Anolis sagrei: one gene and its partner. The protein of the gene in region 1 interacts with the protein of each later gene in a biochemical or structural test. Links are inferred from orthologs where the notes say so. Each region holds a gene or a part of one and is shown in the gene's direction. Other genes may lie near its edges.

Region 1 (8,484 bases):
TACCTGCACTACAATAGGTACATCTGTAGAATTAATGCAGCTTAACACCCCTTTAACTGTTCTGGAAGCTGTATTTCTGGCATAGGAGAGGGATTGGCTGGTGACTGCTGGAAGAGCACTTTTGTTTTCTTGATGTTTAATGACAGGCCGAGCTTCTCGTAAGTTTCTGCGAAGGTGTTTAGAGTGGCTTGTGGGTTTTCTTCTGAATGCACACAGACGACGTTGTCATCAGCATATTCAAGTTCTATAACAGATGTTGTAACCTTGGTTTTGGCTTTCAGACTGCTGAGGTTAAATAGCTTGCCATCTGTTCGATAATGATTTCCACTCCAGTGGGAAGCTTCCCGTCAACAAGATGAAGTATCATAGCGATGAAGATGGAAAATAAGGTTGGGGTGAAGCATCTGACCAAAGCACCCATTGGCATTAACGAACAACTATCAACCATCCGATTTAACCTTGCCAAAAACCAAAAGGCAACCGTCATAAATGCCTATGCACTAACACAGACTCAGAAGCATAGTGGGCAGATCAAAAGACAACCTGGCAAAATGGCACTACCTAGAAGAATCCTCCACCTTGTGTGACTGCGGAGCAGAACAGACAACTCCGCACCAGTATGCTTGTCCACTACACTCTGCTTCATGTACAGAGGAAGAATTATTGGAGGCTACAGACAATGCGGTTGCTGTTGCCAGTTTTTGGTCAAAAGATATTTAGCCACTTGTGCTCCTTCTATTTGTATCAGTTTTATACTAATTTATGCAATGCTTTTGATACAAAATATATTGATAAAAAGGAAGAACTTCCTGACTGTAAGAAGAGCTGTTCAGCAGTGGAACTCTCTGCCTCGGGAGTGTGGCAGAAGCTCCTTCCTTGAAAACTCCTCATATTGCACTTCCTTCCACCTTTCTGAAGGCCTATCTCCACTATTCTGTCCCCTACAAGCTCCTCCCTTACAAATATTCCTTTTTTATTTTTATCTCATCCAGAGGTTTATCATTTTACGTCATACATTTGGCTCACCCATTGCATTTGATTTTTCATTTTGTTACTTTGAACTGCTTTATTGTACTTTTAGGTTTTACTTATTTTATTGTGATGTTATTTTTGTCGCTCTGTATTTATTTTGCTGTAATGTTGCCCGAGGGCTGAAAAAAGCGGTATATAAATAAAGTAAATAATATATAAATAAGGTAAATAAGTAATGTACTACCGGGCTTGGCCTCATGTAAGCCGCCCCAAGTCCCCTTTGGGGAGATGATGGCGGGGTATAAATAAAGTTTATAATTATATTATTATAAACCTTTAAACAGAGGCTGGATGGCCATCTGCCAGGGGTGCTTTGATTGTGCTTTTCCTGTATGGCAGGGGGTTGGACTAGATGACCCAGGTCGTTGCTTCCAACTCTATAATAGGCATGAGCAAGTGTAATGATTCTTACCTAGTAGGCTGAAGGAGAAGCCAGGGATATCAGTGAGGTAGGCCTCCGTTTTGGGAGTGTACGCAAAGGAAGCAGACATCTTGAGAGGGTAAAGTGAGAAGAGGGGAGGAGCTGGAGATTTCTTAGGATTGGTTAGGACAGATGGGAGGAGTTAAGTCCTGAGAGGGAAAAGTGTCAGCTTCACAGAGAGAAGGGTTTTAGGAATTGAAGAAGAGAGATTGAATTTGGGAACAGAAGAGAGAGGAGAGGTATTTTTAGGCTTAGGATTTTTCTGACAGAGCGTTTGTGACAGGCAAGGCTGCATTATTGGCCAGGACGGTCAAGTAGTCACCTGGGTGCTTGTGTGGGCTTACACAAGTGCTTTGCTCTCTGGGTAGAGTAGATTAGCCACATAGAGAACTCTGCTTAGAGTGGGCTAATTGCTCTGAAGACAGCCTGAGTAGGTTAGTCTAGGGAACTCACTGCTACTGTATTATTGTAGAGTGAGGAGTTTTACGAGTGACTAAGTCAAGTAACCTGTTTAAAGTAACCATCAAGAATACTGTACTGTAGTAACCATTTAAGCTTTTGTGCCTCATCAAAGAAGACAGTTGTTTGTTTGATCTTATCAATAAATCTTTTATCTATTTCAACTTTTAAAGAAGCCTCGGTTGTAATTCATTCCTGTGAGAATAATCCTAGTTGTTTTAACATCTTAACATCACAGTCATCTCAGGGAGCTAAGGGAGAAGTGTGTGGCAAGGAAGAAGTTAACCTCAGAGAATCATTCTTCAATATCCTGAAGTATTTTAGGTGGTGGCAGCAAATCTACCAGAGTACACACTGTGCTGGTACAGCTGTACCAGGAGCTCCAATTCTGTTTGCTTTGCATTAAATGTTTGTTTGCAATCCCAGGCTTGGGATTTTGTAGCAAGGTGGCTTCCTGTTATAGGTTGCAATCATAGGGCAAGCCACCTGTCAATTATCGATAGGTTCCCTGATCCCGCCCCTTTTTGAGTTTTAGTGGGAATAGAAGCCATTTTGAGTTCAGTCCACACAGAGCAGCTTTCCATACAGGACATGAAACCAAGAGCTCCTGTAGAAAGCTTCGTCTTCTACGGCTTGGCCAGGGAGATATACAGCCTACAGCTTGGCCGGGGTTATACAGCCCACGGCTTGGCCGGGGAGACACAGCCCACAGCTTGGCTGAGGATTTTGCAGCCTTACAGCTCCTTTGCTGAGGGACTTCAGCCGGCCATCACTGAAACCTGAACTCCTTTTTTCCCAAGGAAGTTTACAAAGCTCTGCTTGATAAGGGCCGCTTGCAGAAGCCAGACGCAGTTGGTACCAGGTGCAGGGGCTCCATGCCAACAGAGGCAAGTACAGACTGCCCAGATTAGAAGTTAAGGATTTCCCCATTAGTTAGTATACAGTTATGAAGATAGTGCCTGTTCCCAGTGAACAAGATTGCAAGAGCCAATAGACTGTTAAGAAAGCTTTAAAGAACCTGTTTGTTTTCATCAATAAAGAACTTTGTTGGACTTACTTTAAGCCTCTACAGAACTCTGTTTGGGGGGAATCCAAAGGCCTTTAATCTGAGGCAGCCCCGGCGTCCCGTTGGGAATTTATGTCCTGTCTACAGTCATATGCACAGGCCCAGTGTGCGACAGCACACACGTTACCTCATATATATATACAAACACTCTGTGAAAGAACCTATATTCCTTTATACTGGTGTCAGCAGGTGGGATATGTGATATATTTTCCCCCCTGACAGCGTAAAAGGTCCCTTCACCTATATGTAATTTCGTTACGAGTGGTGACCAGCGGTGTAATTTAGAATAGCATACTTATAATAACTCCGTATCAGGATCACGTTCCTTTATAACAGTGTTTCTCAACCTGGGGGTCGGGACCCCTGGAGGGGTCACGAGGGGGTGCCAGAGGGTTCACCAGAGACCACAAGAAAGCACAGTATTTTTTGTTGGTCATGGAGGTTCTGTGTGGGAAGTTTGGCCCAATTCAATCATTGGCAGGGTTCAGAATGCTCTTTGATTGTAGGTGAACTATAAATACCAGCAACTACAACTCCCAAATGTCAAGGTCTATTTTCCCCAAACCCCACTAGTGTTTACATTTGGGAATATTGAGAATTCGTGCCAAGTTTGGTCTAGATCCATCATTGTTTGAGTCCACAGTGCTCTCTGGATGTAGGTGAACTACAACTCCCAAAACTCAAGGTCACTGCCTACCAAACCTTCCCAGTATTTTCTCCTGGTCATGGGAATTTTGTGTGCCAAGTTTGATTCAACTCCATTCCCTAAGGTCCAGCTCTCACATCCGTAGGTTACTACAGGGAATACCATGGCTTTGCCTAGGCGGTGGAGTTCAGAATGCTCTTTGATTGTAGGTGAACTATAAATCCCAGCAACTACAACTCCCACAGGACAAAACTAATACTCTTCCCCAATCCCACCAGTATTTAAATTTGGGTGTATTGGGTCTTTGTGCCAAATTTGGTCCAGTGTATGAAAATACATCTTGAATATCAGATATTTACATTACTATTCATGTTGTTGTTGTTCATTCGTTCAGTCGTCTCCGACTCGTGACCTCATGGACCAGCCCACGCCAGAGCTCCCTGTCGGCCGTCACCACCCCCAGCTCCTTCAAGGTCAGTCCAGTCACTTCAAGGATGCCATCCATCCATCTTGTCCTTGGTCGGCCCCTCTTCCTTTTACCTTCCACTTTCCCCAGCATAATTGTCTTCTCCAGGGTTTGCTGTCTCCTCATGATGTGGCCAAAGGACTTCAACTTTGTCTCTAGTATCCTTCCCTCCAATGAGCAGTTGGGCTTTATTTCTTGGAGGATGGACTGGTTGGATCTTCTCGCGGTCCAAGTCACTCTCAGCACTTTCCTCCAACACCACAGTTCAAAAGCATCGATCTTCCTTTGCTCAGCCTTACCTAAGGTCCAGCTCTCACATCCGTAGGTGACTACAGGGAATACCATGGCTTTGACTAGGCGGATCTTTGTTGCCAGTGTGATGTCTCTGCTCTTTACTATTTTATCGAGATTGGACATTGCTCTCCTCCCAAGAAGTAAGCGTCTTCTGATTTCCTGGTCACAGTCTGCATCTGCAGTAATCTTTGCACCTAGAAATACAAAGTCTGTCACAGCCTCCACATAGATATTTACATTGCTATTCAGAACAGCAGCAAAATGACAGTTGTGAAGTAGCAATGAAACTAATTTTATGGTTGGGGGTCACCATAACATTAAGGGGTCGTGGCATTAGGAAGGTTGAGAACCACTGCTTTATAGCAAGCTTGGGCCCTCCAGGTAGGCTGTTAGGAATTGTAGGATTTGAAGTCCAAAACACCTGGAGGGCCCAAGCTTGCCCATGCCTGTTCTATTCTAATTGCACTCTTTGGCCTTGGAAAACTCCCATGATTTCACAGCCTGGAGTCAAAGTGCATCCCTTCTACAATGGAGAAGGCTCTATAATGCAGCCTAAGTACCTCATCACTGGAGTATCTGTCTATCCTAGTACCCACTTTAGATCCTCCTGCAGAATCCTAGCGTTTGAGGCCTCCTGCCTCCGTTTCCTGCTTCTCCCGCCGCCCTCTAGGGGGAAACAACGGTCCCAATTGCAGCTGCACTACAACTCCCGGCAGCCTTTGCGAAGGCTTGGCCTCCTGCGGTGGCGCGCATGCGTAGGGCCTGCCGGGAGTGAGCGGGGCCGGCGCCAGTGGTCGGCGGCGGGGGAAGGTGCCAGAGCTCGTGCCCTTCCCTGCCGCCGCCGCTTCCTCCATTCATTGCCCTTCGCCTCCTTCGCCCGCTCGCCGCCATGGAGGCGCTGATTCCCGTCATCAATAAGCTGCAGGACGTCTTCAACACGGTGGGCGCCGACATCATCCAGCTGCCGCAGATTGTGGTGGTGGGCACGCAGGTGAGGCGGGCCGCTCGGGGGCGGGGCCTGGGCGCGTGTGGGCGGGGCCTGGGCCACCACAGTGGGCGGGGCTTAAGCCAGGATGACCTCCACCTGGGCAGAAGGTCTAGGGGTGCTGTTGGAGTGCTCAAGTGAGAGGCTCAAGGGTGGCTTTTATTTTAATTACTCTTATCAATATTTGCATTTGGGGTTTTATTATTTGGTTGGGGTGTTGGCCTACAAAAGTACTTCTCCCTTAATCTGAAATGCTTGGGACCAGGCTTTTCACCAGACTAAGGCGAAAGTCTTGCAAGGCCTGCAATATCTTGTCACTTAATAATTACTTGATTAAATCTTTCCATAGGAATACTGTTTTGTTTTTTCATTTCCAATTTCCATATTTTCAATACCATAGCACCATATTTCCAATATTATTTTACAACACAACAATTTCCAGTACCATAGCATCATATTTCCAATATTATTTTCCAATATGATTTCCAGTACCCCAGCATCATATTTCCAGTATTATTTTCCAGCATAACCATTTCCAATACCATAGCATATTCCCAATATTATTTTCCAGTGCAACAATTTCCAATATTGTAGAATCATATTTCCAATACAATTTCCAATACAATGATTTCCAGTACCATAGCATCATATTTCCAGTATTATTTTCCAACATAACCATTTCCAATACCAAAGCATCATATTTCCAATATTATTTTCCAACATAACCATTTCCAGTACCATAGCATCATATTTCCAATATTGTTTTCCAGTGCAGCAATTTCCAATACCGTAGTATCTTATTTCCAATACCATTTCCAATACAACGAGTTCCAGTACCCTAGCATCATATTTCCAATATTGTTTTCCAGTGCAACAATTTCCAATACTGTAGTATCATATTTCCAATACCATTTCCAATACAATGATTTCTAGTACCATAGCATCATGTTCCCAATATTATTTTCTAGTGCAACAGTTTCCAATACCATTTCCAATACAATGATTTCCAGTATCATAGCATCATATTTCCAATATTGTTTTCCAGTGCAGCAATTTCCAATACCGTAGTATCATATTTCCAATACCATTTCCAATACAATGATTTCCAGTACCATAGCATCATATTTCCAATATTATTTTCCAGTGCAACAATTTCCAATACTGTAGTATCATATTTTCAATACCATTTCCAATACCATGATTTCCAGTACCATATTATTATATATCCAATATTACTTTAAAATACAGCAATTTCCAATTCCATAGTATCATATTTCCAATTCCATTTCCAATACAGTAATTTCCCATATCATGGCATTATACACAGTATGTTTAGGTAATACATTTACATCAGTGGTTCTCAATATGTGGGTCCCCAGGTGTTTTGGCCTACAACTCTCAGAAATCCCAACAAGTTTACCAGATGTTAGGATTTCTGGGATTTGAAGGCCAAAACATCTGGGGACTCACCAGCTGAGAACCAAATCTCATCAGTGGTGTCCAATACTATAGCATATATACAGGATACATGACATTTAGGACCCCCTTGTGACCCAAGTCCAAATATGTATTTTATTTATTTACCCTCTCTCTCTCATTGAAGGACTCAGAGCAGCTAAATTGGATTTTCCCCCCAATACACCTTAACCACATAACCTGAGGATAATTTTATATGGGATATTTTAAATAATTTTGTGCGTGGAGCAAAGCTTGCATGCATTAAACTATCAGAAAGTAAAGGGGCCACTTTGAGTGAAATTCACTGTGAAATTAATGCAGTTTGACACCACTTCCCTAGCTTAGTGTCATGGGATCATGTAGTTTTACAAGGTCTTTAGCCTTCTCTGCCAAAGATTATTACAAACCCAAGAATACCATACCATTGTGCCATTGCAGTTTTCAAATTGCATTTACAGTATAAATGTGCCCTATGCCAGCCCCCCAAGTGGACAGTTTTGTGCTTTGGAGGATTTGGGGTTTCTGGATAAGGAATATTCAGCCTATTACTGCTTATTGCAAGTATTATCCAGTGTTGGTTAAGTGGAGAATTATTAGTGTTCAGAGCACGTTGCAATCCCTATGGGTCTCCTGCTTAATGGCATGCTGCCCAGTTGAAGGGGATGCGTTCCACATTGGAGGATTTAAGTGGGGTGGGGAGATAGGATTTTCAGATCCTGTCCTAATTAAACAATTTGTTCCTGAAAGATAAAAAGCAGCCCTGGATGACATCTTGGAGGCACAGACTGTCCTATTGCTACTGAAGCTTTTGCAATGCCACACAGTACATACTCTCTTTAAGATTGCAGCAACAGTCTACATTATTAGTATTCAGTGCAACAGACTTATGTATTAGATTTAGACTTTTAAAAACCACCAAGGCGGTTCTGGCAGAAAAAAGGCTGGTTAGGAGGTTCCTTGGGGACATTGAGATAGCTGTTCTTGGAAATGGGAGTGATCTTGCTCTGAGCTAGAAAGACAATTCTGATGTCCTTAAAGCTGAAAGGAAACAATATGAGTGTCATAAATGCAAAGATAATACATAGATCTTTAGAACACTGTTGCATGTGGAGTCTGAAGGTTCATCTACACTGCAAAATTAATGCAGTTTGAAACCTTTTTAGCTGTCGTGACTGAATATTAATGGGATTCTGGGAGGTGTAGCTTGTTTGGCACCAGCAGTCTTTGAGATAGAAGACTAAAGTTCTTGTAAAACTACAACACCTATGATTCCATAGCATTGAGCCAAGGCAGGTAAAGCAGTGGCAAACTGCATTAATTCTACAGTGTAGATGTGCTTTCAGTGTACAGTGGTCCTTAGAAATGTATGTGAAACCATGTCCTCACTTGGAGCATGTAACGGCCATTGTCATGATAAACAAACTGGGGAATTCAAAGATTGTGATGCTGTCCAGTTGGTCCATACATAACATCAGAAGTCCCCAAACTAAGGCCTGCAGGCCGGATACGGCCCTCCAAGGTTATTTACTTGGCCTTGCCCTAAACTTTAGACCAGGGGTCCTCAAACTTTTTAAACAGAGGGCCAGGTCACAGTCCCTCAAACTGTTGGAGAGCCGGAATATAATTTGAAAAAAAATGAATTCCTATGCATACTGCA
Region 2 (8,231 bases), on another chromosome or scaffold:
AGAAGTGTTGTAAATAAATAAATAAATAAAATATATAGTGTAGAAGTAACTGAAGGCCCTCCAGACAGGTCCTATATCTCAGGATCGTATCCCAGATTTTCTGCTTTAATCTGGATTATAGGAGTCATTTCCACTCCTATCCAATAACTATCTAACCCATAATACCCTCCCTTGTGCCAGATTCCCTATCCCATCACCTATGTCAGCCCAATTCCCCTGTGGATATGGAGATCTAGAGGATCTCCCTTCTTCTCCCGCAGGCCCTTTCTGCATGTGTTTTCCTTCCCAAGGCGGGCCAGCCCATCTAGGGTCTAGACGCCCTTGCCTTCATATTTTTCTTCCCCATAAAAGGACCCAGGGAGATAGGAGCCCCTCAGAAACCTTATGTGCCTGATCTGTATGTGTACCCCCTAACCTGTGGGAGCCAGGCCTCCAGAATTGGGTATCCCTGCAATCACAGCCCCTCATATATGAATACAGTGTTCCCTCACTTATTGTGGGTGTTACATTCCAAGACCACCCGCAAAAAATGAAAATCCGTGAACTAGGGATGCTATATATGCTCTTGGCCCCGCCTCTGTCTCAAACGTGCTTGGTGGGGATGAGGGACAGGGCCTTATTGGTGGTGGCCCCCCGCCTGTGGAATTCACTCCTCGGGGAAATTAGGTTATCTCCTTTAGAAAGAAGTTAAAAATGTGGATAGGGGACCAGGCCTTCGGGTAACTATGCGGACAATAGCAACGATGACAATGGCTATGGTAATGGACTATAGAGTCTCCAACCACAAACTTCGGCTAGATAACGGCCACCAGACTGGTATTTGTTAGTAGTTTTTGGGCAATGGCAACCATTCATAAACGGGGAGGCAAAAACACGTGGAACAGCGAGTCTGCAAAAAGCGAATTGCCAAGTAGTGAGGGAACATTGTATGTATAATCTTGTCTATGCTTCTGTATAACTGTACAAAATTATTGGAGAAGTCACCAGCTGAAGTTTTGCGATCACCTTTGCCTGCACTTCCTTGTCCTGGGAAGATTTGTCAACATCTTGCCAGGCTACCTCAAAGGAACACATACTACCTAAAGCAGTGTTTCTTAACCTTCCCAATACCGTGACCCCTTAATACAGTTCCTCATGTTGTCATGACCCCCAACCATAACATTTTCATTGCTACTTCATAACTCTAATTTTGCTACTGTTATGAATTATAATGTAAATATTCGATATGCAGGATGTATTTGCATCCTCTGGATCAAATTTGGCACAAATATTTGATATACCCACATTTGAATACTGGTGGGGTTGGGGAGGATTGATTTTGTCATTTGGGAGTTGTAGTTGCTGGGATTGAAAGTTCACCTACAATTAAAGAGCATTCTGAACTCCACCAATGTTGGAATTGAACCAAATTTGGCACACAGAACTCCCATGACCAACATAAAGTATTGGAAGGTTTTGGAGTTGTAGTTCACCTACATCCAGAAAGCAGTGGGGACTCAAACAATGATGGATCTGGATCAAACTTGACACAAATACTCAATATGCTCAAATGTGGACATTGGTAGAGTTTGGAGGAAATAGACCTTGACATTTGGAAGTGCTAGTTGCTGGGATTTATAGTTCAACTACAATCAAAGAGCATTCCGAACCCCACCAACGATAGAATTGGGCCAAACTTCGCACACAGAACCCCCATGAGCAACAGAAAATACTGTGTTTTCTGATGGTCATTGGCGACCTATCTGGTACCCCCTAGCAACCCACCCAAGGGTCCCAACCCCCAGGTTGAGAAACGCTGATATAGAGCAATTGGTGGGGAAAGCTTCACCTGTTGGTTTCCTACCCTTTTGTTCTGGTGTAAAAGTGTCAGAATGGTACTAGAAAACAAAGCATTAATTTTTGAGGCAAGAACTTCTGGCCATGAAACTTTTCCAGTTCTATCCCAGTTGACAAAATTAATTGATTCCCATTTGGAACATGCTATTCTACCAACTTTCGTCCTCAGGGCCGTTCGGACTCATTAACCAAATAAGCAATATACTAAGCGGAGTTAGCAATATGCTAATTCCCATGATAGACTGATGAATGGCACGCCAGGGGAGTTGCTATGATTATTTTTGTTGCAATTACCACCGAGAAAATATCAGGTAAATGCATGCAATTGAGGGCAGGTTACAACTTGCTTCTCGAGTTAGGAAAGTATATAGATTGGAGAGACATTATCAAATCTTTGATTTACGGTAGCTCACTAGAGAAATCTGTGGATCAGATGGTTCGATGCGCTGGGGACTTCTGATTCAAATCCCATCAGCTTGAGATGATAACATACTTTCAGTACGTCCCATGTTAAATAATAATAAATGATAATGATGCTCCCTTTGGTGATGTTTGTGGAATTGAATCCAACCCAAGGTTTTTGAACTAACTTGCCTCTCATGGCTCTTCCGCATCGTGGTGCTATAGCACTATGATTCCACACTATGTGCCAATGGCTATGGGATGCTGGGATTTGTAGTTTGTAGCATACTATCAGGCTTGTCAGAAAAGGATAATAATACATCAGAAGTGGAGGAACTCCATAAAGGAAGCCAAGTCTTCCCTGATTCTGCAGGGCAACTTGGGGTATATCTACACCAGGCACGGGCAAACTTGAGCCCTCCAGGTGTTTTGGACTCCAACTCCCACAATTCCTAATAGCCTACCGGCTGTTAGGAATTGTGGGAGTTGGAGTCCAAAACACCTGTAGGGCCCAAGTTTGCCCATACCTGATCTACACTCTAGAATGAATGCAGTTTGAAGCCACATTACCTGCTACGACTCAGTGCTATGGAATTGTGGGATTTGTAGTTTGGTGAGGCACCAACACTCTTGGTCGGAGGACGCCAGAGAGCCTGTAAAACTACATCTCCCATGATCCCATGGCAATGAAAGTAGTATCAAACTGTTTTAATTCTATAGTGTAAATACAACTTTGAAGGTTTCCTAATCAAAGTAGACTCGTTGGTAGTCAACACAGCAAGCATGCACTATATCTCTCTAGTTGATCATTCGAAGGACCCTTCCAGACAGGCCCTATATCCCAGGATCTGATCCCAGGTTTTTGTTTATCCCAGATTATCTGGTAGTATGAACTCATATATTCCAGTCCAAAGCAGAAAACCTGGGATCCGGGTTTATCTCCCACCTTAATCTGCCAATTCCAGGATTCCATAGGAATTAAAGTGTGACTATACTGCTATAATTGTGTAGTGTGGAAAAAGGCCAAATGGAAAGAGGACCAGAATCACAAAGAAGTTTCCAGAGTCAAATAAGGCTATTTTTTTTCAGTTTCCAGTATAGAGGGGTTTAGGTTTCTGTGAGTTTTCTGCTCTATGGCCGTGTTCTAGAAGCATTCTCTCCTGACATTTTGCCCACATCTATGGCAGGCATCCTCAGGGGTCATGAGATCTGTTGGAAACTAAGTAAGTGAGGTTTATATATCTATTGAATGTCCGGAGTGGAAGAACTCTTGTCTGTTTGAGGCAAGTGTCAATGCTGCAATTGAGCACCTTGATTAGCATTGAATAGCCTTGCAGCTTCAAAGCTTCTCTGCTTCCTGCCTAGGGGAATCCTTTGTTGGGAGATGATTAGCTGGTCTTGGTTGTTTCTTGTCAGGAATTCCCGTTTTTGAGTGTTCTTTCTTTAATGTTGCAATTCAGCACCTTAATTAGCATTTAATGGCCTTGCAGCTGCAAAGCTTAGCTGGTTGCTGCCTGGGGGACTCCTTTGTTGGGAGGTGATTAGCTGGCCCTGATTGTTTCTTGTCCGGAATTCCCATTTTTGAGTGTTCTTTCTTTAATGCTGCAGTCGAGCATCATGATTAACATTTAATGGCCTCGCAGCTGCAAAGCTTAGCTGGTTGCTGCCTGTTGGGAAGTGATTAGCTGATCCTGATTGTTTCTTGTCCGGAATTCCCGTTTTTGAATGTTCTTTTTTTAATGCTGCAATTGAACACCTTCATTAGTATTTAATGGCCCTGCAGCTTCAAGGCTTGGCTGCTTCCTGCCTGGGGGAATCCTTTGTTGGGAGGTGATTAGCTGGTTCTGATTGATTATTGCCTGGCATGCCCGTTTTTGAGCGCTGTTCTTATTTTAATGCTGCAATAGAGCACCTTGATTAGCATTTATTATTATTATTATTATTATTATTATTATTATTGTATTGTCAAAGGCTTTCATGGCCGGAATCACTCAGTTCTTGTGGGGTTTTTCGGGCTATAGGGCCATGTTCTAGAGGCATTTCTCCTGACGTTTCGCCTGCATCTATGGCAAGCATCCTCAGAGGTAGTGAGGTCTGTTGGAAATAGGAAAATGGATTTATATATCTGTGGAATGACTGGGGTGGGGCAGAGAGCTCTCTGCTGAAGCTAGGTGTGAATGTTTCAGCTGACCACCTTCATTAGCATTTGAAGGCCTGCCTGAGCCTGGGAAAATGTTCTGTAGAGAGGTGTTAAGATGTGCCTGGTTGTTTCACAAGAACTGGATTATTATTATTATTTAATGACCTTGCAGCTGCAAAGCCTAGCTGGTTGCTTCCTGGGGAATCCTTTGTTGGGAGGTGTTAGCTGGCCCTGATTGTTTCTTGTCTGGAATTCCCTTGTTTTTTTGAGTGTTGCTCTTTATTTACTGTACTGATTTTAGAGTTTTTCAATACCAGTAGCCAGGGGGGTGTCGTCACAGAAAACACAATTGGAACACATTACACAGACATTAAGATCATGTGTTTGAATAGTTCTAAGGAACCTCTGAACCGTTTGTGGCCAAGGTAGACCGGCCTCTCGCTAGCGATTGGTTCAGGACCCTTTAGGGGGCGGTCCTTTGGCTCTCCTCCTCCAATGAGCGCAAAGAAGAAGAGGAATGGAACGCCAGCCGCAAAATCAGATAGCGCATGCGCAGTTTTATAGTCGAAGGAGGGGGAAAAAGAATGACGTAGCAAATGTGAAGCCGTGGTGTGGCACTTGAAGGGAGGAAATGGAACTGATTTCCGTTTCCGGCTGAGGTCAGCGCTTCCGGGATTGGGCGCAATGGAGTCGGTGGTGAGTGAAGTGGTGGCGCTGGAGGATCTACAGGTGAGCAGGAGATATTTTCCCTCCCATAATAATCGTGAAGCTGTGCTGGTGAAATGGAGCCTCCAGTTAAAGGGCCAGTGTGCCTCGGTTCCCAGGCGAGAGGGTGGTAAACAAACTACAGGGTGTCACCCCGCCCCCTTTAAAGGGATACGGCCCTTTGTGATCCTGGATATTCCCCCCCCCCCCCCAAGATATGTATTCACCAAAGCAGTTTTATTTATTTGTCGTGTCAGAGCAACCAGTCCATTATATTACATTTCTAACAGAACAGAGCAAACAAACAGAAAAATACACAACTTGTGAGTTTGGTAGCTGGTTAAATGTCCTTTGACCAGTATCTGGCCACTTGGAGTGCTTCCGGTGTTGCTGCAAGAAGGTCCTCCATTGTGCATGGGACAGGGCTCAGGTTGCATTGCAGCGGGTGGTCAGTGGTTTGCTCTTCTCCACACTCGCATGTCGAGGATTCTACTTTGTAGCCCCATTTCTGAAGGTTGGCTCTGCATCTCGTGCCAGAGCGCAGTCTGTTCAATGCCTTCCAAGTCGCCCAGTCTTCTGTGTGCCCAGGAGGGAGTCTCTCATTTGGTATCAGCCATTGGTTGAGGTGCTGGGTTTGAGCCTGCCACTTTTGGACTCTTGCTTGCTGAGGTGTTCCAGCGAGTGTCTCTGTAGATCTTAGAAAACTATGTCTAGATTTAAGTTGTTGGCGTGCTGGCTGATACCCAAACAGGGGATGAGCTGGAGATGTCTCTGCCTTGGTCCTTTCACTATTGGCTGCTACTTCCCGGCGGATGTCAGGTGGTGCAATACCGGCTAAGCAGTGTAATTTCTCCAGTGGTGTAGGGCGCAGATACCCCTTGATAATGCGGCATGTCTCATTAAGAGCCACATCCACTGTTTTAGTGTGGTGAGATGTGTTCCACACTGGGCATGCGTACTCAGCAGCAGAGTAGCATAGCGCAAGGGCAGATGTCTTCACTGTATCTGGTTGTGATCCCCAGGTTGTGCCAGTCAGCTTTCGTATGATATTGTTTCTAGCACCCACTTTTTGCTTGATGTTCAGGCAGTGCTTCTTGTAGGTAAGAGCACGGTCCAGAGTGACTCCCAGGTATTTGGGTGCGCTGCAATGCTCCAGTGGGATTCCTTCCCACTGCACAGCAGTTAAGAATACTCTATATCAGTGGTTCTCAACCTGTGGGTCCCTAGGTGTTTTGGCCTACAACTCCCACAAATTCTAGCCAGTTTACCAGCTCTTAGGATTTCTGGGAGTTGTAGGCTAAAACATCTGGGGACCCACATTGCTCTATATCTACATCTACATTATTTATTTATTTATTTATTTACTTCGCTTATATACTGCAGTTCTCAGCCCAGGGGCGACTCACTGCAGTGTACAATATAGCAAAAAACAAGGTGCAAAATATAAGACACAGTATAAAATAATCCACAATTCAACATTATCAGAAAACATCATCAAAAACATCATCATTACTACAAAAACCATTCCGTGTCGTCTCATCGCCAAAACCACAATCCAGTATCAATTTCCGTTGTTCATTCCTATGGTCAATTACCAATTGTTGTACTTCTTGTTCAAACGCCTTCTTAAACAGCCAGGTCTTTAATTTCCTGCGGAATATCAGCAGGGAGGGAGCTAGTCTGATGTCCACGAGGAGGGTGTTCCACAGCCGAGGAGCCACCACCGAGAAGGCCCTATCTCTCGTCCCCGCCAGCCGTGCCTGTGAAGCAGGTGGGATCAAGAGCAGAGCCTCCCCGGAAGATCTCAAAGTCCTCGTGGGCTCATAGGTCGAGAGGCGGTCAGTTAGGTATCTTGGGCCGGAACCGTTTAGGGCTTTATAGGCTAATGCCAGCACCTTGAATTGAGCCCAGTAGCAGATCGGCAGCCAGTGGAGCTGGTACAGCAGTGGGGTTGATATACATGCATTTTTTCAAAGAGGAAGGTATACACTATTAACAGGTTATAATTCTGGGTTTGTATATGTATATCTATATATGTATATATGTGGGTGTATGTATATATAATGTGTGTGTATATTTATATTTATACACACACATTTTATATATACATTTATACACACAAACACACAAGCCGTCCCCTGCCACGCGTTGCTGTGGCCCACTTGGGGGTTCTGTGTGGGAGGTTTGGCCCAATTCATTGGTGGGGTTCAGATTGCTCTGTGATTGTAGGTGAACTATGAATCCCAGCAACTACAACTCCCAAATGTCAAGATTCTATTTCCCCCAAACTCCACCAGTGTTCACGTTTGGGCATGTTGAGTATTCGTGTAGAGTTTGGTCCAGAGCCATCATTGTTTGAGTCCACAGTGATCTCTGGATGTAGGTGAACTACAACTCCAAAAACTGGAAGGGTTTGCCCACCAAACCCTTCCAGTATTTTCTGTTGGTCATGGGAGAACTGTGTGCCAAGTTTGGTTCAATTCCATCGTTGGTGGGGTTCAGAATGTTCTTTGATTGTAGGTGAACTATAAATCCCAGCAACTACAACTCCCAAATGACAAAATCAATTTTTTTTAAGTGAAGGACATATATTGGTTTGTTAAGTGTCTTGTGTCCAAATTTGGTGTCAATTCCCCCAGTGGTTTTTGAGTTCTGTTAATCCCACAAATGAGCATTTATATATACACACACATACACACACACACACACACATACATATATACATACATACACACACACATACTTATATTTATTTATTTATTTATTTGCTGCATTTGTTGACCGCCGTTCTCAGCCCTAGGGCGACTCACTGCGGTGTACAACATATAAAAGACAATTTACAATAAAGCAATAACGAAAAATCAACATATCACTAATACACAATAATATAATTACACTAAATAATCCGCTCCGTCTCATCGTCGAATCGTCACCAATCTCGTAATCCATATTCCGTTCCAGTTGTCATTACCAATTAATGTAGCACTCAGTTAAATGCCTTCTCAAATAGCCATGTCTTTAGGCTCTTTCGGAAAGACATAAGGGAGGGCGCCTGTCTGATGTCAACAGGGAGGGTGTTCCACAGCCGGGGGGCCATCACCGAGAAGGCCCTCTCTCTCGTCCCCGCCAGACGTGCCTGTGAAGCAGG

The links.
Region 2: the proteins of DNM1L (region 1) and FIS1 form a complex in vitro, tested with the Homo sapiens proteins (2 studies listed by BioGRID). The link is inferred for Anolis sagrei from reciprocal best matches to the Homo sapiens genes DNM1L and FIS1.

Annotation. Positions count from the first base shown.
Region 1 is NC_090025.1:176,169,642-176,178,125, reverse strand, and holds the start of DNM1L (dynamin-1-like protein), read left to right. Parts: upstream 1-5,134; 5' UTR 5,135-5,273; coding exon 5,274-5,375; intron 5,376-8,484. UniProt on the Homo sapiens protein: Functions in mitochondrial and peroxisomal division.
Region 2 is NC_090026.1:11,729,914-11,738,144, forward strand, and holds the start of FIS1 (mitochondrial fission 1 protein), read left to right. Parts: upstream 1-4,997; 5' UTR 4,998-5,062; coding exon 5,063-5,107; intron 5,108-8,231. UniProt on the Homo sapiens protein: Involved in the fragmentation of the mitochondrial network and its perinuclear clustering. Plays a minor role in the recruitment and association of the fission mediator dynamin-related protein 1 (DNM1L) to the mitochondrial surface and mitochondrial fission.